Stegostoma tigrinum: one gene and its partners. The protein of the gene in region 2 interacts with the protein of the main gene of each other region in a pairwise test. Links are inferred from orthologs where the notes say so. Each region holds a gene or a part of one and is shown on either strand. Other genes may lie near its edges. The genes, in order: gmds, ntaq1, pts and gas7b.

Region 1 (7,722 bases), on a different chromosome or scaffold from region 2:
CTCTATCCAAATAGATTCAGACCTTGAACCCTGTTATATAGTCCCTTTGTAGAACTGGAACACTATTGTACCATATTCCCTTCCTATTACTCCAGAATATGGCCTTTACCTTTGATCTTGAATCTTATTGCTGATATCTTTAAAATTGGTTTCCATTATACTCATTTATTATCCCATGTAGTAACTTGCACCTGTCACTAATCAACCTTGTTTGTATTGGTCTGGTTTCAAAATGGGGAAGCAATGGACTAGTGGCATTGCAGCAAGGCTATTAATCCAGAGATGCAGATAATCTTCTGGGGACCTGGGTTTGATACTCACCTATGGCAAATGAAGGCACTTGAATCCAAATTAAAAAGGAGCCTGGAAACTAATAATCAAGTGAAGCTATTGTCGACTGTCAGGAAAAGGCCATCTGGTTGGCCTGGGTTTGAGTCCCACCTGCTCTGGGGGCACGTAATAACATCTCTGAACAAGTTGATTAGAAAATATCTTAGCTGCTAATACGACAATGCTTCGTTATGTTGCCATTTATCTTTGTTACCTATTGATACAAAATTCTCAACTTTACCTTTCATTTTTGATCCTCAGTAAAATTACACTGTGGGCTCAATCAGGTTTTTTTTTAAATTTCAGGTTCATCAACTTCTTGGAAAACTTTTTGTTGCAACATCTAGTGACATCTCGCACCATAACTGACCAAACTCAGTTATCAATTACCTACCCACACTTATGGCACCTCCCCCCCTTCCAATTTTAGTCCCTTTTTATCATTCACCGTTCCTGGAAGAACTCTCAACTCACTAGACATCTTTGGTGCATACACCACATTTAAAAGACTGCTGCATACTCAGACAAGCACCGGCATCCCAAAGTTGACCTGCTCAATGACTGAACAAAAGATGTCAAAGATGGAGAAAACAATGTTTCAATTCTCCAACAGGGATATGCCACCTCATACGCCAGTACCAATGGCTTTGTTATGCCAACCACTTTCATATCATTCAATCTCTCCCTTTCTCTCATTCCAGGAGAAAGTAGCTGACTAAAGGGTAAAAAAAGGCATCGATCGATGTACAATCACCCAACATCAGGCTCCTCACCCACTATGATAAGGGAAATCTGTCCCTTGCTGGAGAAGGTGGAAGTGTTCCTGCAAAGCCACCAAGGCATTCATACTTGCCAAACAAGGGCTATGCTTCACTCTATTACAACTCTCAAATTAACCCCATTGCCAGTGTCAATCATTGCACATAACTAAATATTGGCAACTAACTATTTTTCACTTTTTGTTGTTGCAGATCTCAGTCTACAACTCCAGTTGAGAAGTGGCCCACTCTGCCAGATGCCACCTCCTTGACCTCTCAGGAAAAGATTTCCAATGCCACAAAGGAAACATCAGCAAGGCTGCATCCCCCACTGCCATCAGCTCAGATACCAACACCTCAGTAAGAATGTCAGCCTTAGAATGTTTGAGAGCACAAGCTGGTAAGCAGCTCACTGTGACAGTTCTGCAGCTAGCTGTGGAAGAAGTGCCTCAGATCATTAGCATTCAAAGGAGAACTGGTGATCAGGCACCTGCTAAGCCCCAGGCAGGAGAGGTCTATGGGAGGAACAGGAGCAACAGAAGGAATGTAGAACTCATCATCCCGAGGCTGTAGGGTGCATCCACACCAATAGTGCCCCAGTCTCAAGCATGCAGCCATCTGGCTGCATCCATGGACAGGTTGGCAGCTGGCATGAAGTCTCAGGCTCATCATTTCAGGATCTGCTGGAGACATATACATACTTCAACTCTATCATCCCAGCCATTTGTTCTCAGGGTCAGAGGCATTGTAACGGGAATATGGAGTCTGGCACGTATGCCAGGTGCCTCTTCCTCACAAGGAAGCAGGGTGGTGCCAAAAGACATTGACAGGGAGTTAAGTTCAGTTGTCAGGCAATTAAACTCCTGGTTCCCACCTTACTCTCTGCCTTGTTTTCCTCCTTTAAGACACTCTTTAAACAGACGTTTTTGACCAAGGTTTTGGTCATCTGATTTAATATCTCCACATGATGTTATATTTTGTTTTTTTTACATTCCACTAAAGTGCCTTGAGATGTTTTATTATAAGTTAAGGTCTGCATAAAGACAATGTGTGCTTTTTGATAAGCACCTGGCTTCACTCCACTGCTGTGCCCTGCTGCACCTCTCCCTTTACAAATAGATTTAAATCCCTCCCACCCCCAAGCACTTCAGCACTCAATGTATCACAATGTAAGATAAAGCTACATTTATATCATAAAACAAGATGCTACAAACACAAAACCGGTTACACATGTTGCACCTGCCACAGTGAGATGAGGTAAACTTGTAACGGCGTCAATTCATAAAACCGACGCCATGCAAAGAAATCCTACAACTACACATGACACCTGTTCAGAGAAGAATTTTAACTTATTTGGAGCACTGGACGTGAGGCGGGGGTGGACGGGCGGTGAGCGAGCTGCATAACCAGTCAGTGAGGAGCAGATCCCGATGAGCACTTAGTTCCATAGAAGAGTCAAACTGGACTCGAAACGTTAAGCGTTCCTTTCTCCACAGAGGCTGCCAGACCTGCTGAGTGGGTCCGGCATTCTCTGCGTTTGTTTCAGATCTCCAGCACCCGCGTTTTATTTGGCAGACACAGTTTGGATGCCGGCATGTGAATGAGTGATGTACCTGTCCAGTGATGCCGGTGATGATGGCTACTTTCCTCTTGCCGACGGCATCTCCAACTGATGGGGCCGGACTGTCACCTCCCGCCGCCGCTTGATGCTCATTCATCGCTGCCAGCGTGGACTCCCCCGGGGCTCGTTGCTGAATCTCACAAGTTTCGTTTCACTTCACCTCCACGTCCCCGTGTACCTACTCGCACTTCCGCGTAGTGAAGGAAGCCGCCGCCCCGCCCCAGCCTCGGTTGGCAACCGTCTGAAAAGTGCCGGTACCGCCCCTAGCAACAGGCCGCCTTCCACTCCAGCCCCATATGCGTCTGCGCCACTCTCCTCCAGAGACAACGACCCCACCAGCACGGGAGGTGCATGCACAAGTGGGTGAATGCGCTTCGGTCTTATTCACCCACGCGAAACCAAGCGGAGGTTTGGAGACCGCTTTGCAGAACACCTCCGCTCAGTTCGCAATAAACAACTGCACCTCCCAGTCGCGAACCATTTCAACTCCCCCTCCCATTCTTTAGATGACATGTCCATCATGGGCCTCCTGCAGTGCCACGATGATGCCACCCGAAGGTTGCAGGAAGAGCAACTTATATTCCACTTGGGAACCCTGCAGCCCAATGGTATCAATGTGGGCTTCACCAGCTTCAAAATCTCTCCTTCCCCTTCTGCATCCCAAAACCAGCCCAGTTCGTCCCCTCCCCCTACTGCATCACACAACCAGCCCAGCTCATCCCCTCCCCCCACTGCATCCCAAAACCAGCCCAGCCTGTCTCCGCCTCCCTAACCTGTTCTTCCTCTCACCCATCCCTTCCTCCCACCCCAAGCTGCACCTCCATCTCCTACCTACTAACGTCATCCCACCTCGTTGACCTGTCAGTCTTCCCTGGACTGACCTATCCCCTCCCTACCTCCCCACCTATAGTCTCCTCTCCACCTATCTTCTTTTCTCCATCTTTGGTCCGCCTCCCCCCTCCCTATTTATTCCAGAACCCTCACCCCATCCCCCTCTCTGATGAAGGGTCTATAGGCCCGAAACGTCAGCTTTTGTGCTCCTGAGATGCTGCTTGGCCTGCTGTGTTCATCCAGCTTCACACTTTATTATCTTGGATTCTCCAGCATCTGCAGTTCCCATTATCTCTCTCCATTGCAGAGTAGGTGGCTTTGTCATGACAGACCGAAACCGAAATTGCTGGAGAGTTTCGGCAGGTCTGGCAGCATTTGTTGGAGAGAAAGAAGAGCTAACTAACGTCCAGTTTCTTCACTCCGTCGATTTTTTTTTAGGCTTTCTAATCAACTTGTTCAGAGAAGTCCATTCTGGAGCAGGCGGGACTTGAACCCAGACCTCTTGGTCGAGAGGAAGGAGCACTACCATTGTGCTACGAGAGCACATAGAATCGTTTCCAAATATTACTTTTTAGAGATGTTGTTTACACACACCTGGAGTAAGCTCGGACTTAAACTCAGGCCTCTTGGCCCAGACGTAGGAACGCTGCCAATGCATCACAAGGATTGATTGTTCACAGGTCTTCTAGTGTCATGATCCCATTGAATGGCAGTGCAGACTCAATGGGCTGAATGGCCTGCTTCTGCTCCAAAATCATATAGTGTTATTACAGTTGGAGGCTTGACATCATGAGCAGTGTGGATGGATGTTGGAAAAGTAATTCCCATTGGTAGTTGGATCTAACATGTGAGGCTGCAGATTTCATGCAGTTGAAAATGGGGACACTTTTTCATGCAGTGAGTGGCAGCTTAAGTTCTGAGGAAGGATTACCGGTCACGAAATGTTAATTCTGATTTTTTCTCGACAGATGCTGCCAGATTTGCTGAGCTTTTCCAGCAACTTCTGTTTTTATTCCCAAAATGCCAGTCTGATCCCATGCACGAGCTGGACACCTGACTGAGTGTGTGAGATGGTCTTGACGTTTTTGATTCCAATTGCTGGCGCACCATGCTGTGGAAGTCTTTGTTTCCTAAGAGGCCTGCAAATGGATCAGAAGAGTGTTACAAATGGTCATGAGGAGTTGGCAAATGGATGCTAATATCTGTGGATGAGGTATGCATGAGGATAGTGCCATGGATTGTGCTCTGAGATGCTGTTTGTAACTGAGCAAAGTGGTGGTTGATTGCAGCCAATGGCATTCTGAAGTCACCAGAGACTTACTTAGTCTTCCATGTGGAGAATTCTTGACAACTAGTTGACTTGGTAAGATTTGATGCTGAATATTAATGAGGTGAGCTGCGGCATCATTAAGGCAGTTAATGAGCATGTAGTTCCCTTATGATAACTCATGGCTGCCAGATGAGAAACCCGCCTCATTGGCAAATGCATGAAAGACGCAGCGCGCTGCACCTGCTGTCAAGATAGGGCTTGACTGACTTCCCATACGATTCAACCACATTTCCCATCACATTGCTCAGACATCGAGAAGATTTCACCCCAAGTGTAGAGCAGGAGCACAACTGTGTAATTGCTCAGAACTCCATGGTGGTCAACAAACCTCAAGCTAGCCTGCTGGAACGTATGCACAATGCAAGACTCGCCAGCAAACGAATGCCGGCAAAGACGATCGGCCCTCGTCGCACGCAAACTGTCCCAGCTGAACATCGATATCGCTGCTCTAAGTGAAGCCCGTTTCGCAGACCAAGGTTCATTGGTAAAATATGGTGCAGGCTACACTCTGTTTTGGCCTGGCAGAAGCAGCACCGAAAACAGACTCTCAGGGTAGGCTTCATGACCAGGAAGACAATCGCCGACAAGCTCCAAAGCCTACCAATCGGCCACTCAGATCGCCTCATGACCCTGCGACTCCCACTACAAGCCAACCAGTTTGCCACTCTTGTGAGCATCTACGCCCCCACACTGCAAACTGAGACCGCAGTCAGAGAAGCCTTCTGCGACCAGCTCAAGTCTCTCCTCCTGAACGTCAGCACGAAAGACAAACTCATTGTCCTAGGCAACTTCAATACGAGGGTGGACAACGACTCAGAGGCATGGCCCGGAGTCCTGGGTTGGCATGGCATTGGAAGCTGTAATGACAACGGGAGGCTGCTTCTGGAGCTCAGCACAGAACTTGGACTGGTGGTAACAAACACACTGTTCCAACAGAAAGCAAGATTCAAGACGACTTGGAAGCATCCCCAATCCAAACATTGGCACCTCCTGGACTACGTCCTAGTGCGCCAAAGGGATAGATCGGACGGCCTACAGACCAGAGCTATGCCGAGTGCGGACTGCTACACGGACCATAGGCTGGTACAGATGAAAGTAAGACTAGTAGTCAAGCCAGTGACAAAGAAGAGAGGACCGTGTTGCAAGAAAATCCACGTAAGCAAGCTCCACAATCTTTGTGACGAATTCCAGTCCAAGCTAGAGGAGAGACTGAAATCCAAGGACTCATCGGACACAGATGGCAACACAGGAAAGACATGGGATCACCTGAAGTCTGCAATGCGAGATACAGCTGTTCAGGTGGCTGGATACACTTCTAGGAGGAACAGAGACTGGTTTGATGAAAATGACACTGAGATACAGACTGTCCTCCAGAAGAAATGCTCTTCCCATCAGACCTTGCTCTCCAGATCTGACGACAAAACAGCTAAAGCAGAATACACAGCTGCGTGCAGTACCCTGCAAGCCAACCTCAGAACGATGCAAAATGACTGGTGGTCAAAACTGGCAGAACAAACACAGCAGTATGCAGACTCTGGAAACACCAGAGCTTTTTATGAGTCTCTGCGCACGTTGTATGGACCAACCCGCCAACTTCAGGCCCCTTTGCGCTCTGCTGACGGTGCCAGTTTGCTTACTGACAAAGAAGCCATTATGGAGCAATGGACAGAACACTACGAGAACCTCTTCGCGGACAATCGCCAAGTACAAACAGCGTCCATCGAGAGAATCCCGCAGCAGGACATCAGATCCAAACTTGACTGTCCACCAATGCTGGATGAGGTTCAATCCGCCATCTCTAAGCTGAAACTCCACAAAGCCCCTGGTATCGACAGAATTCCTGCAGAAGTATACAAATTAGGAGGAGCTTTGCTCTGAATGAACTCACCAACCTATTTGCACTCTGTTGGGAACAAGGTGAGGTGCCAGCTGATCTACATGACTCTGTATAAGAAAAAGGGTGAGAAATTGGACTGTTCGAACTACAGAGGTGTCACTCTGCTGTCTACAGCTGGGAAGATTCTCTCCAGAATCCTCTTGGACAGACTGATTCCCACCATTGCGGAGGACGACCTGACAGAAAGTCAATGTGGTTTTAGAGTGAACAGAGGCACATCCGACATGATCTTCGCACTATGCCAACTTCAGGAGAAATGCCGTGAGCAGAATGTTGGACTGTACGCGGCATTCATTGACCTCACCAAACCCTTCAATACTGTCAGCCGCGACGGTCTATGGAAAATCCTGGGGAAGCTCTTAACCATCCTACAGCAACTTCATGAAGGCCAGAGTGACAAGGTGAAACACAACAGTGACCTATCACACCCGTTCCTCATCAGCAACAGCATGAAGCAGGGCTGCGTCTTGGCACCAACGCTCTTCGCCATCTTCTTCAACATGATGCTGCAGGAAGCGAAGGAGGGCATCACGAACAGCATCTATATTCACTTCCGCCTGGACGGCAATATCTTCAATCTGCATCGCTTCCTCGCTCGCACGAAGACAACATGGGAGCCCATCATGGAGCTGTTGTATGCAGATGACTGTGCCCTACTCACACACACAGAAGATGCGCTACAGACTGCAGTGACACTCTTCTCCGAAGCTGCAAAGGCTTTCGGGCTAACAATCAGTCTGAAGAAGACGGAGATCCTGTACCAGAATCCACCATGCAGCACATACAACCCCCCTCGAATCTCGATCGACGGCCACCCCCTCAACACGGTCGAATGATTCACATACCTGGGAAGCATAATCTCCAACGATGCTAGTCACAGGAGATGTCGACAATCGCCTTGCGAAAGCAAGTAGCGCCTTCGGGCGACTGCGGAAGCGTGTATGGGGAAACCACT
Region 2 (7,653 bases):
ATCTGGAATTGGCGGCCTGACAGCATGGTGGAGGCAAGGTCAATTGAGTCATTCAACAGGAAACTGGATTATTATCTGAAAAGGAAGGTTGTGCAAGTACAGGGTGAAGGTTGGTGGGTAACATGAGATATACTGATTAACTGGACAGCCTCAGCAGACAGAATGGGCTAAAAGATGTCCTTTGATATTGCAACAGTTCTGTGATTCTATGATACAGACAAAGCAGGAATTTGGTGAAATTCTTGTACCTTGAATTAATAAAACGTACATTCAATTGTAGATTGCACTTACCATCTTTTGGTCATTTGACACGAAAACAGTGTACCATTCTTCCAGAGGATATTGTCTTCTGTTCCTTATGTATTCACAAAGCTTCCATATATTTTCTTCACTAAGAACATATTTTAATATAAATGTGAACATTTATTGCAAAAATATTCACTTTTTTGTCTAAATCAAATGCTACAATATTCTGGGCACCGCTTTTGGGCATAGAGGCGTGAATGATGTATGTATGTTGCGCGGTGGAGTTGGAAAAGTCAGGACTATCCTCTTTAGAACAGAGATGGCTAAATATACAGTTAATACTATGGCTACAAAAGCAGGTCAGAGGCTGGAAATTCTGCAGCAAATCATTCACTTTCAAGCTGCTCAAAGCCTGTCCACCATTAACATGGCACGTCGAGAGTGTGGTGAACACTCATCACTTACCTGGCTTGGTGCAGCTCCAACAACACTAAAGAAGCTTACACAATCCACAGCAAAGCAGCCGCTTGATTAATATCACATCCATTACCTTTAAAGTTCATTCTCTTCACCACTGATGCACAGCAGCAGTGTGTACCACCAATAAATGCACTACAACTAGTCACCAGGCTCCTTTGGCAGCACCTTCCAAATCCACAAACTCTCCCACTTGAAATGACGAGGGCAACAGTTGCTTGGGAATACTACTACCTGCAAGTTCCAATCCAAGCCACTTAGCTTCTGACAGGAAACAATAACACTGTTTCTTCAAAGTTGCTGAGTCAAAATACCGGAACTGTACCCACAAACCAAGCAATGCAGCAGGTCAAGGAAGTGGCTCACTACCGCTTACTCAAAATGAAATTAAGGATGGACAACAAATGCTGGCCATCCCCATGATCGAATTCAAAAAATGACTTTTAAGATGATGAGGTTTTGGGATGGTCAATAAAAATATTATTGTTTCTGAGAAGTGAGTCAATAGCCGGAGGTTGTAGATTTAAACTTATTAGTTAATGAGGCAGAGGGGCATGAGGAAGATATTTCTACTCGCACAGCTGTCAGATTCTGTAATGCTGAACCACAGAAAGGATTCCAAAACTAATTTTTAAAATGAGATTTTGACATGTACCTAGTGATGAGGAATTTACAGGGTTACAGACAAAAAAAAACTCGGCTGTAGGACCAAGCAGAATACTTTTTAGAAGAACAAGCACAAACAACGACAAGCTGAATGGGCTCCTTCAGTTCTGCAATATTCTACAATTACAAGTACAAACTAAGTTTTGTATTCTTTTTATTTTTTGAAATCTGCTCTCATGGCTGGACTTGGACTGTAGAGGTTCTAGTGCTCTTTTGATACCTCATTTTTCTGGCCTTTGTAGGAAGGTAGAAAGATGCCAGAAGTGTACTAAACCCAAGGGTCACAGAGTTGAGCCTGGACCTGTCTTTCCACATGGAAGAAAATGAAATATGCTGCTTGGGAGCGGAGACTCAAAAGAAAAATAATACAACTTGTCTGCAAAATGGAATTTACAGTCTATTAGAGTATTGCTGAAAGCAGTTAAATATTTTCAATCATACTTTAACTGCTAACAATATAACTTATATAGCTTGATCAATGCTGATTACACTTTAGCAGCATTAAAAGCCAGGTTGACAATAAATAACTGTTTAGTCCTAAAAGTAAATTATGAACAATCCTTCAAAAGAAAAAGTACATTTGTGCAATTATATTGCATATTCCTAATTTCAGCTCAAAACAAGTGCTATTTGAATAGAAGGATCTACACTGACATAGCAGAACAAAACCATGTGAAAATCCTCCATTGATTCGTCGGAGAGCAACCCTGTAGGGGAAGGCAGGTGCAGACAAGTACAAATAAACTGTTGTTGTAAGTTTTAAGTACTAACCTTCACAAAATAAAATCGCTTAAGATGTGATTATTAAATAAAATTTGAAACTGAGCACCCAGTGAAAAAAATAGAACAGGTGACCAAAGTCCTGATCAAAGAGGTAGGTTTTAAAGGAGAGAAGCATACGTTTTGGGAAGCGATTCCAGAATATAGGGCCCAAACAGCTGGCCTTCCCCCTAAAAGGAGAAATAAATCCAAAGCTGTCAAGATCAGGTGATTGGGAGAAGGTAACGTTTAGGGACTATTCCAGCAAAGGAGGCCATTCAGTTCGATATATCTCGGCCGGCAATTTTGAATAAAACTGCCCAATCAATCCCACTCTCTTCCTCTGTTGTAGCGTTGCAAATTATCCTTAGAAATGTTTGTCCAATCCCTTACTGAAAGTCCCTACAGTATTTGAATCAGCTTCCGCTGCGCTTTCAGCCAGTGCACGTCAGATCACAGTAGTGATTTTCCTTTTAAAAAATACACTGATAACACAACTTCCGTTTAATTTATGGAAAACGTCGCACAATTTGTGGGACTTACACCCCCATTAAATAACTGAGACCATTTTTTCCCAGTAAGGCCTGCTTACCAATAACAGCTGGTGTACACACAATCCTCCTTTCGAATGGCTGAGATCTGGCTCTTACCTCCTGGGTCTAACCTCTCAGGGTTTGGGATACTCATAACAACTTCGCAACAACGACAAATTAGAAACTAAATTGCAGGATACCTAAATTTTCATTCATAATACTAAACAGCGAATTCATTCAAACAAAACTGGCTCAAGGTAAGAACCAATGGGATTACAACCTTAGGAACCATTCATCGGGGATTAGGACCAAAACAGGAAGCCGGAAGGAATAGCAGGTGCACACGGAAGAAGACTGCCTCGCTTTCTTTGACGTTTGGGATACTGCCGCCTGCGTGCGCAACCTCCGCTGCCTCAACGAAGTGTTTTAATACGTTGACGCGTAAAGCTGTCATGTTAAAACCTGTCTTTCGTAACAGTGTGAAATAATTATGCACTTTCTTCAATTAGCAATATGAATTGTATTAGGTTGATATGGGGAGTAGGCGTTGAATTCATTCACGTTTTCCTTCAATTGTTGCTTTTAACTCTATGGATATCCTGGTCATGTCTCTACCTCTGGCCTGGAAAATTTGGTTGTAGTCACACCTGAAGCTATGTGTTCGTGGACGTGTGCCAGCAGGTTCATAATCTCCCCTTCCCCTACTGCATCCCTAAACCAGCCCAGTTCATCCCCTCCCCCCACTGCACCACACAACCAGCCCAGCTCTTCCCCTCCACCCACTGCATCCCAAAACCAGTCCAACCTGTCTCTGCCTCCCTAACCGGTTCTTCCTCTCACTCATCCCTTCCTCCCACCCCAAGCCGCACCCCCAGCTACCTACTAACCTCATCCCACCTCCTTGACCTGTCCGTCTTCCCTGGACTGACCTATCCCCTCCCTACCTCCCCACCTACACCCTCTCCACCTATCTTCTTTACTCTCCATCTTCGGTCCGCCTCCCCCTCTCTCCCTATTTATTCCAGTTCCCTCCCCCCATCCCCCTCTCTGATGAAGGGTCTAGGCCCGAAACGTCAGCTTTTGTGCTCCTGAGATGCTGCTTGGCCTGCTGTGTTCATCCAGCCTCACATTTTATTATCTTGGAATCTCCAGCATCTGCAGTTCCCATTATCTCTCATAATTTACAACTCGGTTTGTGGTGCAGCAGTTTTGTGCCTGACGCAGTGTCAAAAAGTTGTGTGTTCAAATCACGACATTGAGAAATTTTGAGACTATAGGGTTAGCTGATCTTGTGTTACAGCGATGGTGTCCCTTCCTTTGAACCCAGTGGTGTGCTTGTAGATGTCTGCAGATTTCTAGTTGAAGATTAGTTTTCTCATGAAGACTGTCAAAGAAACAATTGGACCCCAGGCAGACATGTCTAAGATACTGAAACCAAAGAGAAAGTAAATTGAAACAAAAAGGAGTAGCACTGAACAAACATAGGTATTTAAGAAAATTGGAAGTTTGATGTCAACTAATGTGAAGTGATAGGTTTTGAACATGAAGAGGAGAGAAAGATGGAGAGGTTTATATAATGTAGGAATTGCAGCAGTCAATTTGGATATAGCAAAATCTTTAAACAATGTTATAATAACTGCAAAATCTGTTTTAGTGATGTTAGTGGAGAGATAAGTATCCGTCATTAATTCCACACACCCCTACAAAATAGTGCAAGGGTGAGCATTTACATTTAACTGGAGCATAGATGAGACCATTGTATGATGAAGATAGTCAACCAGTGCAGTAGTGTGGAGGTAGAACATAGAAAAGTACAGCACAGTACAGGCCCTTTGGCCCATGATATTGTGCCGTGGAATAATCCTAAGCAAAAATAGAATAACCGAACCTCCATTCCCCTCAATTTACTGCTGTCCACGTGCATGTCCAGCAGTCACTTAAATGTCACTAATGACTCCGCTTCCACGACTACCACTGGTAAACTATTCCATGCGCTCACAACTCTCTGGGTGAAGAACCTCCCTCTGACGTCTCCTCTATACCTTCCTCCTAACACCTTAAAACTATGACCCCTCGTGGCAGTCAATCCTGCCCTGGGGAAAGGTACTGAGATTACATGTTCATTCTCCTGCAGTGGGACTCTGTGTTAGACAGGATGACTACAGCAAACCTTTTATTAATGGACACTTATGGGATCAGGAGCGTGTGAGTTGACTAAATATTCCAGTTGATCAAGAGGTCCACATAATCAATATAAAAACTCTCACTAATTAATAGAAATGTAATGCGGCGGTATACACATCGCTGTTCTACTTATTTGCAGCATAAATCACTTAAATAATAATGCAACTTTGCCTGAAATAAACCTTACTGGCAGAGAGCCCTCTCACACCCTGAACTGACTGACTACTCAGAGATTGTGATAATTCAGTAAACTTCCTATATTTGAGGTATATAATTCTTAGTGGTTTATCAAAAATGCTGGCCATAAGGTATCGGTTAAAACAAAGTTTGCAGTAATATTTTGACTATTAGTAAAAAAAGGGCATCAACTGGACTTATTGAAAAGGGACAGTCAAAAGATTGTGGGTGTAAGAATTAAAAGGTACAATATACCTTAAAAATTGGACAGCTTCAGGTACCCAGTACCACTGAATTATACAGTACAGGAAGCTATTCAGCTCATTCTACTACTGCAGTCCCTTTGAAGCACCTATACAAATTATTCTCATTAAGTTGTTCCCCTTAGCTCTGCAAATTTTTCTTCAAAGTATTTATTCAATTCCTTGTGAATCTAGCTATTGAATTCCACCATTACACACCTATTCCACCTTTTTAGGAAAATCAAGAGCTCCCTAAAAGAACACTTGGGATATGTGTGAAATTGCCTCTACTGTATAACTTAATAAAATTATGAAGATTGGGGAGAACCTTTCTCATTGGAGGGTAGGAGGTTGAGAAGTGACCTTATAGAAGTTTATAAAATAATGAGTGGTATAGATAGAGTTAATGGTGGTTGTCTTTCCCTCAGATGGAGGATTTCGCGTCTCGGGGGCACATTTTTAGGAGACAGAGAAATTTTAAAAAGTCACACAGAGTAGTTTGGGTGTGGAATGAACTTCCAGAGGAAGTAGTGGATATGGGTACAATTGCGACGTTTAAAAGGTTTTTGAATAAGTACATGACTAGGAAAGGTTTGGAGGGATATGGGCCAGGAACAGGCAGGTGGGACTAGTTTAGTTTGGGATTATGTTTAGCATGAATTGGTTGGACCAAAGGTCTGTTTCTGGCTGTGCGACTCTATGACTATGAGTCTATTTATGGAAATATGATCACTGGCAAGTCCAGTGTTTGTTACCCCTCCCAAATGTCCTTGAGAAGGTGACAGTAAGCTGTCTTCTTGATCACTGAGTGGCATGGAATGCCATATCGGAATCCAGTTAAAAATCAACCACATCATTATGGATCTGGAGTCACATGAAGCTCAGACAGTGTAAGGATAGCAGATTTCCTTTCTTGAAAGACAAGGTAAAATAGATTTTTTAGAAAAGCTATCAAATAGTTCCAAGGTCACCATTACTCAGACTTTTTATTTTCACAGTTCCATTTAATATTTATTTGTCCCTACCACTGGACAGAGAGGCTTGTGTTCAAGACCCACCTATTCCAGAGATGCATAATAACATCTCTGAACAAGTTGATTAGAAAACTGTGTGACAATACCATGGCCTTGGGTGTATTTTCTCCTTCTTGTGAAGAGAGGTGTTGAGCCATAGGCACCAAGCTGTCTCCTCCAAGCCAATAAAGTGTACAGGTTGTGAGGACGTGGGGATTTTTAAAAAGTTGAAAAATAGAGTCAGCATGAACAGGGGAGTCAGGCTCCCATAGAACTTCAATACACAAACATTACATTGACTCTAAACGTGCAAATATTCAACACTACAGTCCATTTCAATCAGTTTCTTCTGCCAACAAACACCTTCATTTTCTTTCGTTAAACTTGTGACAACGCATCAGCAATTACATTCTCTCGTCATACCATGCATATAATCTTTAAATTAAGTGGCTTTAACAACAAATTCCATGTTGGCAATATTGTATTTCTCTGTTTTTATTTTTCCAAAAAACATTAAGGGTTTATGATCAGTATATACAATTGTCTCAGGCGCATTACTGGGAACATAAATGTTGAAATGTTGCACCATCAAACTCAAGGTCTCCTTCTCAATTGTGGAACATTTCTGAGAAGGACATGGAGCCTTTTTCATTTCATGTGAGAAAGTAGCTAAACAAATGAGATGGTTGGTGATCATGCTGATATTGTTGATTCAAACCACATTTGTCGGTGAAATAACTCCACGAGGACCAGTATCCCATCACCAAGTCACCTTTTACTTACATGTGCGTAGCATATGACACTGGCCCAGCTAGCACAGAGCTGGTTCCTGTAGTATAAAACTAAAGGTTTTTAAAAATGAAGCCACCTATGTTTATTGATAGTTCATTTTTCTTTTAAGGGGTAGGGGAAGGTGTAATGATATTATGGCTTTAAGAGGAGCATTTTGCCCTGTGTCTTTTTGAAGAGAGGTTTTGAGTATCGATGAAAAACTGCCTCCTCCAGGCTAATAAAATAAATAGTCATGAGGCCTTGGGATTTTTTAAACGTTAGTATAATGGAAGCAACATGAATGGGTGGAATCAGGTTCCTACGGAACCAGAGTTTTATTTTCACTCAGCAGTTGTTGGGGTTTGCAGTTGACTGTGGAAACTGTTACATCTGTTATGGACCAAATATTAAGATAGCTGAGACCCTAACTTGTTACTTTAAAAGTAAGAGGCATTGTGTTCTAGATGTAATTTGATTGGTCAAAATTACTCAACTTTAAGCAAAATAAACTTTATTTTTGAACCAGAGTTAAAAGACAAACAAAACAAAAATTAAAAAAGGCTTAATTGTAACTCTATTGAATTC
Region 3 (7,083 bases), on a different chromosome or scaffold from region 2:
AATGATACAAGCCCTACTGTGAACACAGCCATCATTTTTTTTTTAAAAAGAAAATTAAAAGCAGACATTTAATTATGGAGTTCACTTTAATGCTTTATTTATTTGGGGAGATGGTGTCATTGTAGTAATGTCACTGGAGTGGTAATCCAGAACTCCAGGCGATTGTTCTGGGGACATAGGAGAGAATTGTGCCACAGCAGATGGTGGAAACTTGAATTTAATAAAGAAAAATAAATTAAAATGAAGAAGTCAAATGGCAAACATTGTCTGTTGTTGTAAATACCCACCTACCTCACTGGTGTCTTTTAGGGAAGGGATTCTGCCATTGTTATTTGGCTGGGCCTACACACGACTCCAGATCACTCCAATTCACTTTTAACTGATATCTAAAAATGACCAAACAAGCCACTGCCCAAATCCCATGCAGTGTTTTTTTTGAAAAAAATTGGAGCGTGAGGACTGAATGCTGGGAGGCAGCAGTCTAGTGATGTTATTGCTGGATTGTTAATCCAGAGTGCAGAAAATGTTCTGGGGTCCTGGTTTCAAATCCCACTATGGCAGATGGTGGAATTTATATTCAATACAATCTGGAATTAAGAGTCTAATGATGGCCATGAAGCCAGTGTCAATTGTTGGATAAATCAATCTGGTTCACTCATGAAAAAGAAAGAAACGGCCATCCTCACCTGGTCTGGCCTACATGTGGCTCCAGAGCTGTAGCAACATATCTGCTTCATAACTGCCCTCTGGCCAATTAGGGATAGGGCAATAAATGCTGGCCTAGCCAGTGATGCCCTCATCCCATGAATGAATTAAAGAAAATATTGGGCTCTAGTGTAGTTACAACTAACCCAAGCATGAACCACCAGCTAAGAAAGACAGCTGTTTTGAGATTACAAACCGTTTGAATATGTTGCAGCAGTACTTTCAGTGTATTTTCAAGTGTATTGCCCTCTTGTACTTTGCAAACCTCTATGTCCCAGTCTGTCATTCAGAAATTCCTGGTCCAATTACTCTTTCACTCCTGCTTCATTATTACTTCATGAAGCAGCCAAGAATTAGCCAGCAGTCTCCTCAAAACAAGCCAAGTTCCCCTCACACATCATGCCCGTATAAACATTACTGTCATCACCATATTGAACACAAATATTTGTTTGGCTACATGATAAATTGGTCACAAAACCCCTGGATATCCTGGCTTTAAGATGTGTCCTCTGTGACCCGCAATCTTTCTTTGCAACAGTAGCAAAGCTACTTGAGTTTAACCATCCATAACTGAAACAAAGCCCTCTTTTCAAGAGTTTAAGAACTAGACAGATTTCAAACTTCATTATGGGACAATTACTAATCTGTAAATGATTGGAGGTTTCAGAGAGCATTTATAAAGCCACAAGACTGGTAAGATTAATCATGGTTCCAGCAAGTGGCAGAATAATACTCATTCATAATGCAATGCTCTAGATAGTTTAAAAAAAGGCTGCTTGTTTGCGACCTTTACACTTGCCCATAAACCTATAGTGGGATATTGCACAGGAATTTGCAATGATGCAATCTGAAATGGTGAATCTTCTACATGGACCAATGTGAATCAGACAAGCATATTGTCTGAATTAGAATCACAGAATCCCTGCAGTTTGGAAGCAGGTCATATGGCCTATCGAGTCCACTCCAACCCTCCAAAGATCATCCCACCCTGACCAACCCCATACCTTATCACAATCCCCCATGGCTAATCCAACTAGCCTGCACATCCTGGATACTATGAGTAATTTAGCATGGCCACTTAACTTGCACATCTTTAGACTGCAGGTCTTTATTGAGCCATGGCAGTCCAAGTTAGAATAATTAATTCATAGCGATATAAATGGGCATATCTCGTTAGGTTTTGACCCCCTAGTGTAAGCATCAAACGCTAAGTGAGCAAACTATTTGATTATCTGCCCTGTTATCTTCTCAGGTGCCTCAGTGTTAGTGCCTGGTTAATAACACTGCGTGTAAACAGTTCGGTGATGTTTGGCTATGTCCGGAGAGCTGTATTATTGTTGCAGGCTGCTGTTGAGAGATTCGCCTTAAAGATTTTTCTATGGAAAGACCACGTCTTAAAGCGGCTGAGTGAATAAATCGGATGTAAATAAGTGGATTTTCCAGTGCGCCGAGTGCACGACGAGGGGTCACTGACACAGTTGCCTTGTCACAGAGCTGGGGATAGATGTGAGTCTCTCATAAGAACAGAATACACTCCAGGATTCTCCAGCATCCGCTGTTCCCATTATCCCGCTACACTACAGGCCTGCCTGGACGTACGGACGTGAGGCAAACAGTGAGGCTCACAGTACTGAGCCAATCCACATCACTGATTAAATCCAGGGCTCCTACAACACAGCTTGCCTGTTACGAAACAGGATGCAATAATTCCGGGAATGGGTTACGCCGAATTAAACAGGACCTGTTACAGCTGCGGTTCCGGGGTGGGGGAATGTCTCAGACCCGGCATTTACCTCTGACCTCAGCGAGATTGTGAATTGTCAATTTCACACGCGGTTACGGAACTGAAAGCAACGAAGAACCAGGGCCCAACCTCCCTACGCGAGAGATCCTGCGCAAAGAGAGTTTCTGTTTGGAACAATGTCATGAAGAGATGGTTAAATAAGACCGATTAACCCATGTACAATTAAACCACAATAGACGGGGCGCATTTCCTGAGCACGTTTCACCGTTGAAGCTTCCATATTATGTTCTTGCTCTCAGTGAAAGTGAAACTTACAACGTCCACACTGGGATGGTGCCAGTTTTTTTATTTATTTACCTATGGAGGCGATGAGCAGCGTTGAAGCTTTCCACTCTCGTCACCAGCGCGGTCCTGATGGGTTTCGGTGGCTCCTCTCCCACTTCCATGAGTGCAGCAACAATCTGATCTCCACGGACCAACACAGCTTCAATGCGACAGGTTAGAAGCCACGCACAGCACAGCAGCCACCCGACGTCGCACTCACTTCCGCCAGACCATCACATCTTTCCAAACCCAAACATCCACATCCAACACCTTCACGTTGCTGTAAAGGTGGCTTTTAAAATAGAAAATAAAACAATTTAGGGAAAATGTAAATACGTTGTTTTTACTTTTAATTCATAAGTTATTTTCTCATTTATATTTAATTTGGAAAAAAAATAACAAATTTGATTGACAGACGTTTGTCAAGTTTGGCTTGACATGACATTTCATCAGATGACATATGACCACCTTTGTAAATACATTTGCGTTTACCTCCGTGATATCTTCTGTACCAAACCTTGAGAACGAAAAAAAAGAGTTGAAACTCAGTTAAGTTCAGTGATGCCACCCTACCTTTGCTCTATACAGCGGTCGTAGTTCACGTAGGTACCAATAGAATAGTTAGACCTCGGAGATTATGAACAGGGAGTATGTGGAGCTGGGCACTAAATTATAGAGCAAAACCAGAAAGGTTGTAATTGCTGGATTATTACCTGAGCCACGTGCAAATAGGTATAGGGTACATAAAATAGAGAGAGGAATAGATGGGAGAGATAACGGGAACTCAGATGCTGGAGAATCCAAGATAATAAAATGTGAGGCTGGATGAACACAGCAGGCCAAGCAGCATCTCAGGAGCACAAAAGCTGACGTTTCGGGCCTAGACCCTTCATCGGAGAGGGTTCTGGAATAAATAGGGAGAGAGGGGGAGGCGGACCGAAGATGGAGAGAAAAGAAGGTAGGTGGAGAGGAGAGTATAGGTGGGGAGGTAGGGAGGGGATAGGTCAGTCCAGGGAAGACAGACAGGTCAAGGAGGTGGGATGAGGTTAGTAGGTAGGGGATGGAGGTGCAGCTTGGGTTGGGAGGAAGGGATGGGTGAGAGGAAGAACAGGTTAGGGAGGCAGAGACAGGTTGGGCTGGTTTTGGGATGCAGTAGGTGGAGGGGAAGAGCTGGGCTGGTTGTGTAGTGCAGTGGGGGGAGGGGACGAACTGGGCTGGTTTTGGGATGCGGTGGGGGAAGGGGAGATTTTGAAGCTGGTGAAGTCCACATTGATACCATTGGGCTGCAGGGTTCCCAAGCGGAATATGAGTTGCTGTTCCTGCAACCTTCAGGTGGCATCATTGTGGTACTACAGGAGGCCCATGATGGACATGTCATCTAAAGAGTGGGAGGGGGAGTGGAAATGGTTTGCGACTGGGAGGTGCAGTTGTTTATTGTTTATAGGCCCCAAGATGACTTTCCATATTAAGCAGAGGTTCACCTGCACATCTGCCAATGTGGTATACTGCATCCACTGTACCCGGTGTGGCTACCATCTACATTGGGGAAACCAAGTGGAGGCTTGGGGACCGCTTTGCAGAGCACCTCTGCTCGGTTCGCAATAAACAACTGCACCTCCCAGTCGCAAACCATTTCCATTCCCCCTTCCATTCTTTAGATGACATGTCCATCATGGGCCTCCTGCAGTGCCACAATGATGCCACCCGAAGGTTGCAGGAACAGCAACTCATATTTCGCTTGGGAACGCTGCAGCCCAATGGTATCAATGTGGACTTCAGCAGCTTCAAAATGTTCCCCTTCCCCCACCGCATCCCAAAACCAGCCCAGTTCGTCCCCTCCCCCCACTGCACCACACAACCAGCCCAGCTCTTCCCCTCCACCCACTGCATCCCAAAACCAGTCCAACCTGTCTCTGCCTCCCTAACCTGTTCTTCCTCTCACCCATCCCTTCCTCCCACCCCAAGCCGCACCTCCATCCCCTACCTACTAACCACATCCCACCTCCGTGACCTGCCCGTCTTCCCTGGACTGACCTATCCCCTTCCTACCTCCCCACCTATCTTCTTTTCTCTCCATCTTCGGTCTGCCTCTCCCTCTCTCCCTATTTATTCCAGTTCGCTCTCCCCATCCCCCTCTCTGATGAAGGGCCTAGGCCCGAAACGTCAGTTTTTGTGCTCCTGAGATGCTGCTGGGCCTGCTGTGTTCATCCAGCCTCACATTTTATTATCAGAGGAATAGATGGGTTTCAGTGTGTGGACCATTGACCAATCCTGGGGAGCTTGAGGGCTGTACCATTCGGACAGCTTACACCTGAACAAATAGTGAGGGCAAGGGATCAAACATGGAAAGATGTGGTATGTCAAAGAATGGGGACAAACTATGTCAGAACATGGTAATATGGGAGATGAACGTCAGATAATAGCAGGTAGGGTAAGATGGAATAAAGACTTCTTAAAGATTTCTGGTCTCCCTGCTATAGGAAAGACATTGTGAACTTGAAAGGGTTCAGAAAAGATTTACAAGGATGTTGCCAGGCTTAGAGGGTTACAGCAATAGGAAGAGACTGGATTGTCTGGACCTTTTTTCCTGGGTGCATTGGAGGCTAAGGGGTGACCTTACAGATGTTTATAAAATCATGAGGGGTATGGATATGGTAAATAGCCAAGACCTTTATCCCAGGATAGGGAGTCCAAAACTAGATGGCGTAGGTTTAAGGTGAGAGGGGAAAGATTTAAGGGAACAAGATGCCAGAGGAAGTGGTGGAACTATAAACATTTAAAAAGCATTTCATTGGGCATATGAATAGGAAGGGTTTGGAGAGATCTGGGCCAAATGCTGAAAATTGGGACTAGATTAATTTATTTGTTAGCATGGATGAGTTGGACCAAAGACCTGTTTCTCTGCTGTACATCTGTATGAATCTATGACCCTTGAATTAACTGAAAAATGATACGGAAGGCTGAACACACACACGAGCAAGTGCAGGAATAGCTTCTTTCTGACTATTATCAGACTGTTGAATGGACTGTAGCCTCACATAATATAACCTACAATGTAATCTGTATGCCCCTAAGTCTTTTTGATCTTTACATCCTTTGCTTGCTGTGATTTGCCTGTACCACTCGTAAACAAAGCTTTTCACTGTATTTTGGTGCACATGACAATAAATCAATCACTCCACCTGGGAATACAGAAACCTTCAAGACTAGACATTACAAAAATAACAAAAGAAAAGCCTAACCTGTGTACTATTCAGAACAAAGTAGATGAATTGATGGCATAGACAGAAGTAGATAAGTATGATCTGAGTATAATTATGGAGGCAGAGCTTCAGGATGACAACGATTAGGTCTTGAATATTGAGAGGTAATATGACAATCAGGAAAAACAGCAAGCTAATCAAAGCTGGATTGATAGCACTGTTAATCAAGGATGGCATTTGTACAATCGTTCAAGATGAACTTGATCCAGGAAATCAGGATGTAAAATAATTTTGTAAGAAGTTGCCCTTTAGGTCTCATTAAATCTTTCACCTCTCACCTTAAACCTATGCCCCTCATAGGTTATAAACTTCTGTAAGGTCACCCCTCAGGCACTGATGCACCAGGGAAAATAGCCCCAGCCTATTCAGCATCTCCTTATAGCTGAAACACTCCAACCCTGGCAACATCCTTGTAAATCTTTTCTGAACACTTTCAAGTTTCACAACATCTTTCCCATAGCAGGGAGACCAGAAGTTTTTATCCTCTCTGCCCTTTCCTACTATTCTCTGCCTCTATTTCCCATATTACCAGGTTCCGACAGACTTTATCCCTACTGTTTGATATCCCGCATCTTTCCACATTTGATCCCTTGCCCTCACTATTTTGTTCAGGTGTAGACTGTCTGAATTGTACAGCCTTCAGTCTCCCCAGGGTTGGTGTCAGTGGTCCACCCACTGAAACCCACTTCTCCCAATCAATCTTTGAGCTACATATCCCACTGCCTAATTTTATGTACCCAATGCTTCAAGGGTGTGCCTCAATGTAACCACAAGGTGGGACAAAATATGTCAAAAAAATTGGATGCATATGATAGAATGCCAGCAATAAGCACAAGTGGCTTTAATCTACTTATGAATGTGAAAAATCAGATTAGCAGTTGTAGCCTGGATGAAGAGTTCATAGGATGCTTTCGAGATTGATTTTAAAGCTGTAAGACACTATCACAGAACAGGTTAGATTAGACTTGATTAATTAATGACCTCAAAGTCAAGGTATTCCTAGGTAGCAACATCCACAATATGATTGAATTTTACTTCCAGTTTGAC
Region 4 (7,461 bases), on a different chromosome or scaffold from region 2:
AAGTTCAACAACATTTTTCCCAATACTAGGAAACCAGAACTGAATGCAGTATTCTAAAAAGTGGCCTGATGTCCTGTCCAGCTGCAACAGGACATCCCAACTCCCATACTCAATGTACGAACCAATAAAGGCAAGCATACTAAATGCTTTCTTCACTACCCTGTCGCTCGAGGTTGGAGCACTGGCTAGAGGTCTGACCATTACCTCTTGCAGGGCTGCCGCACCAAACCACAGGACCACCAGGTGCTGAGGTCAATGACAGGCCTTCCCCTGGAAACAAGACATTTGAGTTGAAACTCACATTGAGTAAGGGCTGCCTGTCAATCAGGGGCCACAGCACCATGAAGCAGGCTGTGGCCACTGGGAGTGTAGCAACCTGAAATTTCAGGATCATAGAGAACCCAAACTCAAGAAGAAGATAACTGATGGAGGGGGCAGTGGTTTCTCAGGCTGTATTCAGACTGGTCAGGGTCAAATGTACGGCAGGGTTTGAGAAAGCAAGGGCTGGGAGTTAGCTCCCAGCTGGCAAGCACTGCCCATTCCCTCAACTAGGCATCACTTACCTTTGATCAAGGGACACCACCCTGTCCAACAGCAGAGATAGGTTACTTACAGGTTGGCATCTATTATGAACAGAATCTGGTGACAGGCCTGCAATCCCAGGGCAAACAGGCCGAAGCTCTTAGATGGTGGTCAATTAGTCAATTACAGGCCTCAACTAGCAGTGGAGCAGCAGGTTTGTCCAGAGGGGTGTTTACCCCTATAACTTGATTCAGGGACAGAAAAGGTGGCAGTGGGATTTAAATTTACCATCACCCCACTTCATTAAATGCCCTTCCTATCTTCAAATTCGCTTTCTTCATAAACAGAGATTTCTAGCCCTAATTCGTATGCCTTGTACATAATGTGTTACCTCAAAGCAGATCAACACCGATATAAGTCCCTACAGAAAAGAGACATGGGAACTATGTGAAATTATGCATCAAACAAGCATAATTTTTGTAAGAAACTAAATAAAGCTACCCTGCACGTCATTGAAATTGCTAACCAGTCTAGGCAGTGTGAAAATCAGCACGTAATTATCAGCTAGATACAGTTTGTTAAAACCTGCACAACATGGTTTTGCAACGATAGCAAGCGGACGTATAATTGCCAATATTATTATTGTGCTGGGCTTGGGCATTAATCAGTCTGACAGTACAGCGTAGCATTGCCAACCCTTTCGGATTGTCCTCGAGTCTCCACTAATTAATGACCTGGACACTACCGCAGGCTATCTATGAATGAGACAAAAAAAACTGTTTTTTTAAAAAAACAATCTCTTTGAACACTAGAGTAACAGCATTGCGGGTCAAAGACAGGCGGTTTGATTGGTCTGAGAAGTTATCTATAAATGTTGCCAACCAGAATAAGGTTCTGATAGTGATCACAATAAAAGTCTTGGACTGATACGTTTCAGAACTTCGACATTTAGAAAGTTAATAGTAATGTATATATCACACACTATCAAACCAAGCGTTCCAGTGTAAAAGTACTGACATCCAGTGATGCAATGAGCTCAAAGACCATCACTGTATTTTTTTTGTGGGTAGTGCAAACTGTTGCTTTTTAAAGATTTCTTTGAAAGATCAATGTCGTGACTCATTCTAACAGCGGAGACCAAATCCGACAGATCCCCTTAGATAAACGTACAGCTTTCGTTCGAATTTGAGTTTATTCAACTAATATAAATTAGAGGATTGAAAATAGTGAGTTAGTGATTTAAGAACCCAATTTCACAGGTATAAAATTGTGTTACATTTAACAAATCACAAAATTAAAGTCTTAACAATTTCCCGCTTACACATTTTTTTCAAGGATTTCTCCACATTTTGGTGTTGCAACATGCCCCCTAGCGGAAAATGAAATGTTAATATCCGGTGTTGAAAGCATATCGATCCTCAGATTTCAAAACAAGTAGACAAGCGAGCACTATCACAGAACAGTTTACGAACAAGGAGACTTTAGGCTGTTAAACACCGTAAAGCACAACACCACCCTCATTGGCTGTGACAGTTTGAATCGCAGCCTCCAAACTTCTAATACATCTGTATTCAATCTCATTTCCATTGTCCGCTCTCCCTCAAAATGTCAGTTTCCAAAGACTGTGTCACAATTTCCGGACAGTTTACTCATTTATTCTTCCTTTAAGTTTGCTGTGTGTGTGTGTGTGTGTGTGTGTGTGTGTGTGAACCTTACTGATATCAGTCTTGATTCGCACCACAAATATAAAGCAGCCAGGTTCGAAAGATATACAACACAAACAATTACTCTGAACTCCCATTTCAATGAAATAGCATTCATATTTCTCGTCCGGAGCAAAGCAATTCCCATCCGTTTTTGCAACAAAATTGCACTTAGAGCGATTCAAGGTTGGGGGGGGAAAGAACCAGAGCCGTTGTTGGCGGGCGGGGGGGGGAGTTAGTCCCAGGGTTGGTGGAGTTAACAGATGTTTGTGGCGTGCTTACCTCTAGAATTTCCACATAACTTGCAGGGAACCAACCCCTGGTCCCATCCTTCTCTCCTTCCCACCATCCGCCGTTCAGCACCTGTAAAACCTTGATGATCTCCCCAGCCTCGAACTTCAGCCCTTGCTGATGTTGGTCGCCGGTAAACGCGTACAAAGTTTTGCACAGAACTCCGGCCATAGCAGACTCCTTGGTTTTGGTGTTTTACGTGTGACCGCTGTGAGCTCTCTCGCTGAAAAGCTCGAAGCCTCTCCCCTGTTCACTCTCTCTCCCCGCGCTGGGTTTGACGCTAGGCTCAGGAGTCCATCGTTGTTTCCTCCAACTCACGGTATGACTCAGTGCTGAGATCACCACGAGAGGGGACGGATAAGATTCACAAGGAGGGAGAGACAGAGGAAGAGAGAAGGAAAAAGTGCTGCAGTTCTGATATTTCCTCGCTGCTGGCGTTTGGATGAAATCTGCTGCAGTTCTGGATGGTGGCGCTTTGACGGGAAGGAAACGAGCTGATAGCTCTCTCCCATTGTAATTCATTCCAATGTGTTTAGTGATGGGCCGGAGGGGGGGCGGGGAGGAGCATTGTTCCAAGTAAAGAAGGCACTAATAGTAAACATTTAGCAGCGCCACAGAAGTAAGTTACAATCTATATCGTACTGAAAACAACGCACATAATTTCCACATGACGCTCAGAGGAGTCTTTTTTTGTTTTTCTGGAGAACAGGATTTGATAATTCGTTATCTTATTATTTTACTTCCTCAATCAGACCCGACTCCTCTCTTCAGAGATTTTAATGTTTTTAAATAGGTACAAAAGTACACGTGAATTATAATTACACCTTCTGCCTATACACATCGTGTGCCGTTGATTTTCCTTTCAAAAATATAATTCTTCCTTTCCGTATGTAGCAATACTGCTCCTGCTGTCCGATTATAGATTCTACCTCCCCCTGAACCCCACAACCCATTCTTACTTACAGAACCGTTTCAACGAGTTCTGCGCAGGAGACATGTCTGACAGTGGGAGAACGCGTGACAGATTCAGTGTTAACCTGTCCCAGTCCCTGGTACTCTCTCAATCACTGTCTTAGCTTCTCTTTTTCACTCAGGTGACTTTGCCCGCGCAGTAAGATGGAGATGATTTGCTGAGATCAGCTCCTTTGATTGACAAGCAACAGTTCTGCTGTTATTATGTGGGAATCAAAATTCTCGCCAGAGTTTCAGGATGGGATTTAGAAACTTAGTTTCTTCCTCTAAACTCTTAAGAGCTTTTGTTGAGGGTGTTGGGGAATCTCGCTTTTCCTTCCCTGTATTCGCTTGTCTTGCGAACAAACCTAAATTTACAGGCGGTTGTCTGAAACAATGAGACCACTGGGATTTAAAACACGTGAGGCTACCCACTTTGGTAGCAAAAACAGGAAGGCGGTTTCTTATGTGAATTGCGAAAGATTGGGAGAGCGGGAGGTGTCCCCAAAGCAGTCGCCGGAAGGTAAGCACGTAGTGGCAGCAAGTAGTGAAGAAAGCGAATGCTGTGATGGCCATCACAGAGAGAGGATTTGAGTACGGGAGCAGGGATGTCTTGCTGCAATTATGCAGGACTTTGATGGAGTATTGTGAGCAGTTTTGGTCTCCATACCTGAGGAAGGATGTCCTGGCTCTAAGAGCGAGTGCAATGAGATTGGTTCCTGGGGTGCCAGGACTGAATTCACTGGAGTGTAGAAGAATGAAAGTCTCAGAATTTCATAAAATTCTAACAGGACTAGATGTGATAAATGTAGTAAGGATGTCCCTGACGACAAATGAGCCCAGAGCCAGCAATTACAGCCTAAGGTAGGCTATTTAAGACTGAGATTGGGAGAAATTACTTCACCAAGAGAGTGGTGAACCTGTGGAGATTCTCTGTCAGTTGTGACCAAAACATGGTATGTTTTCAAGAAGAAACTTTGTATAGTTCTTCAGGAACAGATTCTTTCCAGCCATTGTCAGACTGTTGAATGGTCTCTAGCCTCAAATGATGTAACCTGCAATATATCCTGTATGCCTCTAATAAGTCTTTTTGATCTGTACATCCTTTGCTTGCTGTGATCTGCCTGTACCATTCATAAACAAAGCTTTTCACTGTATTTTGGTACACATGACAATAAATCAATCAATCAATCAATAAAAGGATCAGAGGTATGGTGAGAAAGACGGAACAGGATATTGATCTCAATGATCAGCCGTGATCATATTGAATTGATGGATTTAAGATGGCATCAACACTGGGCAACTCCTTGTGAGCTCCCTAAAGCAGATCCATTTCTAACATGACTAATAACCATTCTACACTATTACTATGATCTGCCTGTACTGCTCGCAAACAAAACTTTTCACAATATTTAAGTACATGCGGCAATAAAGCAAATCAATCAATGGAGAAGGCTTGAAGGGCTGAATAGCCTACTCCTGCTCAGACCATCTATATTTCTGTTGCTGCATCTTAAATTTAACAATACTATCCACAACATTACAACCTTTCTTCATGCCTGTAGATACGCAATCTCACCCATCTTCCTCCTAGATACCGTATTTGATCAATTAGTTAGTTCATATCTTGTGTTCGCGTCCCCATGTGTTGCACTCATTCGTAGAAACTGTTTCTCACATCCTAATTTAAAGGCTTGCTAATCAGATCTCCTCAATCTTTTCCAAACTCAATCATTTCCTGATGGAGGCCTCTTCTTAGTTCTGGGTGCATTGTCTCTTAATTTCTTTATCATTTTCACATTCTGTTTTTCTGTAGAGTCATAATAAAGTTAGGAGCCACAACAAATTTTTCTCCTGAAAATATTAAGTCTTTATTTGAAAAACATATATTTTGTGTAATAAAATCTTCCTTCTTGTCTGTTTAGCATTTATAACTATATAAACATAGATTTTCTGTATTTCTGGAATTGTGGACTATATTTTTAATGCTCAACCAGTTGGGAATGGGGATGGGTGAGAAATTTTGAATCCCAGACTATTTTTCCAGGATGGCAGTGTAGCATCGGGCTGGCCAACAGCTCCACTTAATGTCCTATTGAAGTCCGTTAATGGAAACCGACCTGGAATTTTCCAGGCCCAACAGGCTGTGGGGCCCCCAGGCAGTCTCCCAATGACAGATTAGGAGGTGACCAATTCAGCAAACAGGGAGATCCCCCCCTGCTTGTCCAGCTTTGGCATCACCCACAGTATTTCCCTGCTCTGAAAGTGTGCAGCACATCAGTATGGCAGTGTTAACTTTATTTATATGTAAGTGCAATGAGTACAGCAAATAAAGTTGATAGGCTGAGGGCATTGATAAATGCATGGCAGCATGATGACATTTCAATTCATGAAACTTGACTTAAAGAGAGGTAAAATTGGCCTCTCACTACCCTGGATATAGAATTGTCAAGCTAGATAGAGTAGAGTGAACAAAGATGGGGCAGCACATTGCTGGTTAAGTATTCCATTACAGATGTGAGAAAGGATGATATGCTAAACATTCATGAAATGAGACCATATCGGTTGAGAATGAGGCAGCCACACTGCTAGGACTGTGTTTTAGATCACCAAATAGGGCAAAAGAGAAAGAAGAGCAAATGCACAGACCAATTTCTGAATACAAAAACAATGAGAAAATAATAGCTGGAAATTTCATCTGTCCTAATATCAACTGGGATATGAAGAATGCAAAAGGCCCAGGGAACATAGGTGACACGGTGGCTCAGTGGTTAGCACTGCAGCCTCACAGCGCGAGGGACCCAGGTTCGATTCCAGCTTCGGGTGACTGTCTGTGTGGAGTTTGCGCGTTCTCCCTGTGTCTACGTGGATTCCCTCCAGGTGCTCTGGCTTCCTCCCACAGTCCAAAGATGTGCAGGCTAGGTGGATTGGCCATGCTAAATTGCCCATAGTGTTCAGGGGTGCGTGGGTTATAGGGGGATCGGTCTGGATGGGATGCTCCAAATGTGGACTTGTTGGGCCAAAAGGCCTGTTTTCACACTGTAGGGAATCTAATCTAAACACAAAATTTCTGGACTGCATTTATGGGAACTTTCTTAGCCATCATGTGACAAGCCCAATGAGAAGGAGGCACGCTTTTAGATTTAGACCTAGGAAATAAAGCTGGACAAGTGGATTAATCAGCAGTAGATGACAAATTTTGGAGCCAGAGACCACAATACAGTTGGACTTGACATCATTATGAAAAAGAGGAAACATAGATAAAGGATAAAAGTTTGAATTTAGGGAAGACAAATTTCATGAAGCTGATAGATGGTCTGGTGAAAGTGGACTGGATGCAGCTACTTGAAGGTAAATCAGGAAATAACAAGGATGCAATTGATATCGAAATTCTAGGGGCATGGTGTGGACACGTCCCCACAAAGGTAAAGTGTGGTATTGTAAAATCTAGAGTTATCTGTTTATTTGAAAGCATAAAGGGTAAAATAAGACTGACAAAAAGTAATAACATGACTGTAATGGGAGAAATGCACTGATGATCCATTCCCACTACATCTTCAGTCACAGCATTAGTAAAAATATATTGCTTCAATTACGAAAATGACCAAGTGTTTCTTTTTGGTACTACCATCCAGAAAGAAGGAATGCTTCTTTAGTAAGACCCTTGTTGCTTCTCTAAGGCATGTCTTCTCTATTGGCTCCTGGATCTGTAAAATTAAATTTCCAAATTAAGAATGTAATGCCAAGCAACTATTAGCCTGCAGCCACCCTTCCTCCCATTCCCCACCCTGCCAGGCTTTTCAAAGCCAAGTTTTTCCAATAATTAAGGCATTTAAATCCAGTTTTCATCTCCTTGAAAGTTTACTTAGCTGTTTTTCCCAAAGTCACTTGATTTTCATTAAACAGCAGGCAAACCACAATGCACTTTAAACAGTTGGCTTCATTCTGAACAAGTCACATAAGAAAAGCCCTTTTTCAATTCAGAAAATGTGCA

Evidence for each region.
Region 1: the proteins of ntaq1 (region 2) and gmds interact in binary tests that used the Homo sapiens proteins (3 or more experiments, as listed by UniProt). The two-hybrid records come from large-scale screens. The link is inferred for Stegostoma tigrinum from reciprocal best matches to the Homo sapiens genes NTAQ1 and GMDS.
Region 3: the proteins of ntaq1 (region 2) and pts interact in binary tests that used the Homo sapiens proteins (3 or more experiments, as listed by UniProt). The two-hybrid records come from large-scale screens. The link is inferred for Stegostoma tigrinum from reciprocal best matches to the Homo sapiens genes NTAQ1 and PTS.
Region 4: the proteins of ntaq1 (region 2) and gas7b interact in binary tests that used the Homo sapiens proteins (3 or more experiments, as listed by UniProt). The two-hybrid records come from large-scale screens. The link is inferred for Stegostoma tigrinum from reciprocal best matches to the Homo sapiens genes NTAQ1 and GAS7.

The regions. Positions count from the first base shown.
Region 1 is NC_081355.1:14,490,454-14,498,175, reverse strand, and holds the start of gmds (GDP-mannose 4,6 dehydratase), read right to left. Parts: upstream 3,008-7,722; 5' UTR 2,807-3,007; coding exon 2,702-2,806; intron 1-2,701. UniProt on the Homo sapiens protein: Catalyzes the conversion of GDP-D-mannose to GDP-4-dehydro-6-deoxy-D-mannose.
Region 2 is NC_081358.1:39,416,480-39,424,132, reverse strand, and holds the start of ntaq1 (protein N-terminal glutamine amidohydrolase), read right to left. Parts: upstream 3,009-7,653; 5' UTR 2,836-3,008; coding exon 2,741-2,835; intron 2,642-2,740; exon of another isoform or gene 2,290-2,641; intron 2,277-2,289; exon of another isoform or gene 2,161-2,276; intron 1,298-2,160; exon of another isoform or gene 797-1,297; intron 392-796; coding exon 292-391; intron 1-291. UniProt on the Homo sapiens protein: Mediates the side-chain deamidation of N-terminal glutamine residues to glutamate, an important step in N-end rule pathway of protein degradation.
Region 3 is NC_081375.1:46,560,328-46,567,410, forward strand, and holds the start of pts (6-pyruvoyl tetrahydrobiopterin synthase), read right to left. Parts: upstream 3,008-7,083; 5' UTR 2,896-3,007; coding exon 2,807-2,895; intron 1-2,806. UniProt on the Homo sapiens protein: Involved in the biosynthesis of tetrahydrobiopterin, an essential cofactor of aromatic amino acid hydroxylases. Catalyzes the transformation of 7,8-dihydroneopterin triphosphate into 6-pyruvoyl tetrahydropterin.
Region 4 is NC_081375.1:45,726,666-45,734,126, reverse strand, and holds the start of gas7b (growth arrest-specific protein 7), read right to left. Parts: upstream 3,010-7,461; 5' UTR 2,688-3,009; coding exon 2,508-2,687; intron 1-2,507. UniProt on the Homo sapiens protein: May play a role in promoting maturation and morphological differentiation of cerebellar neurons.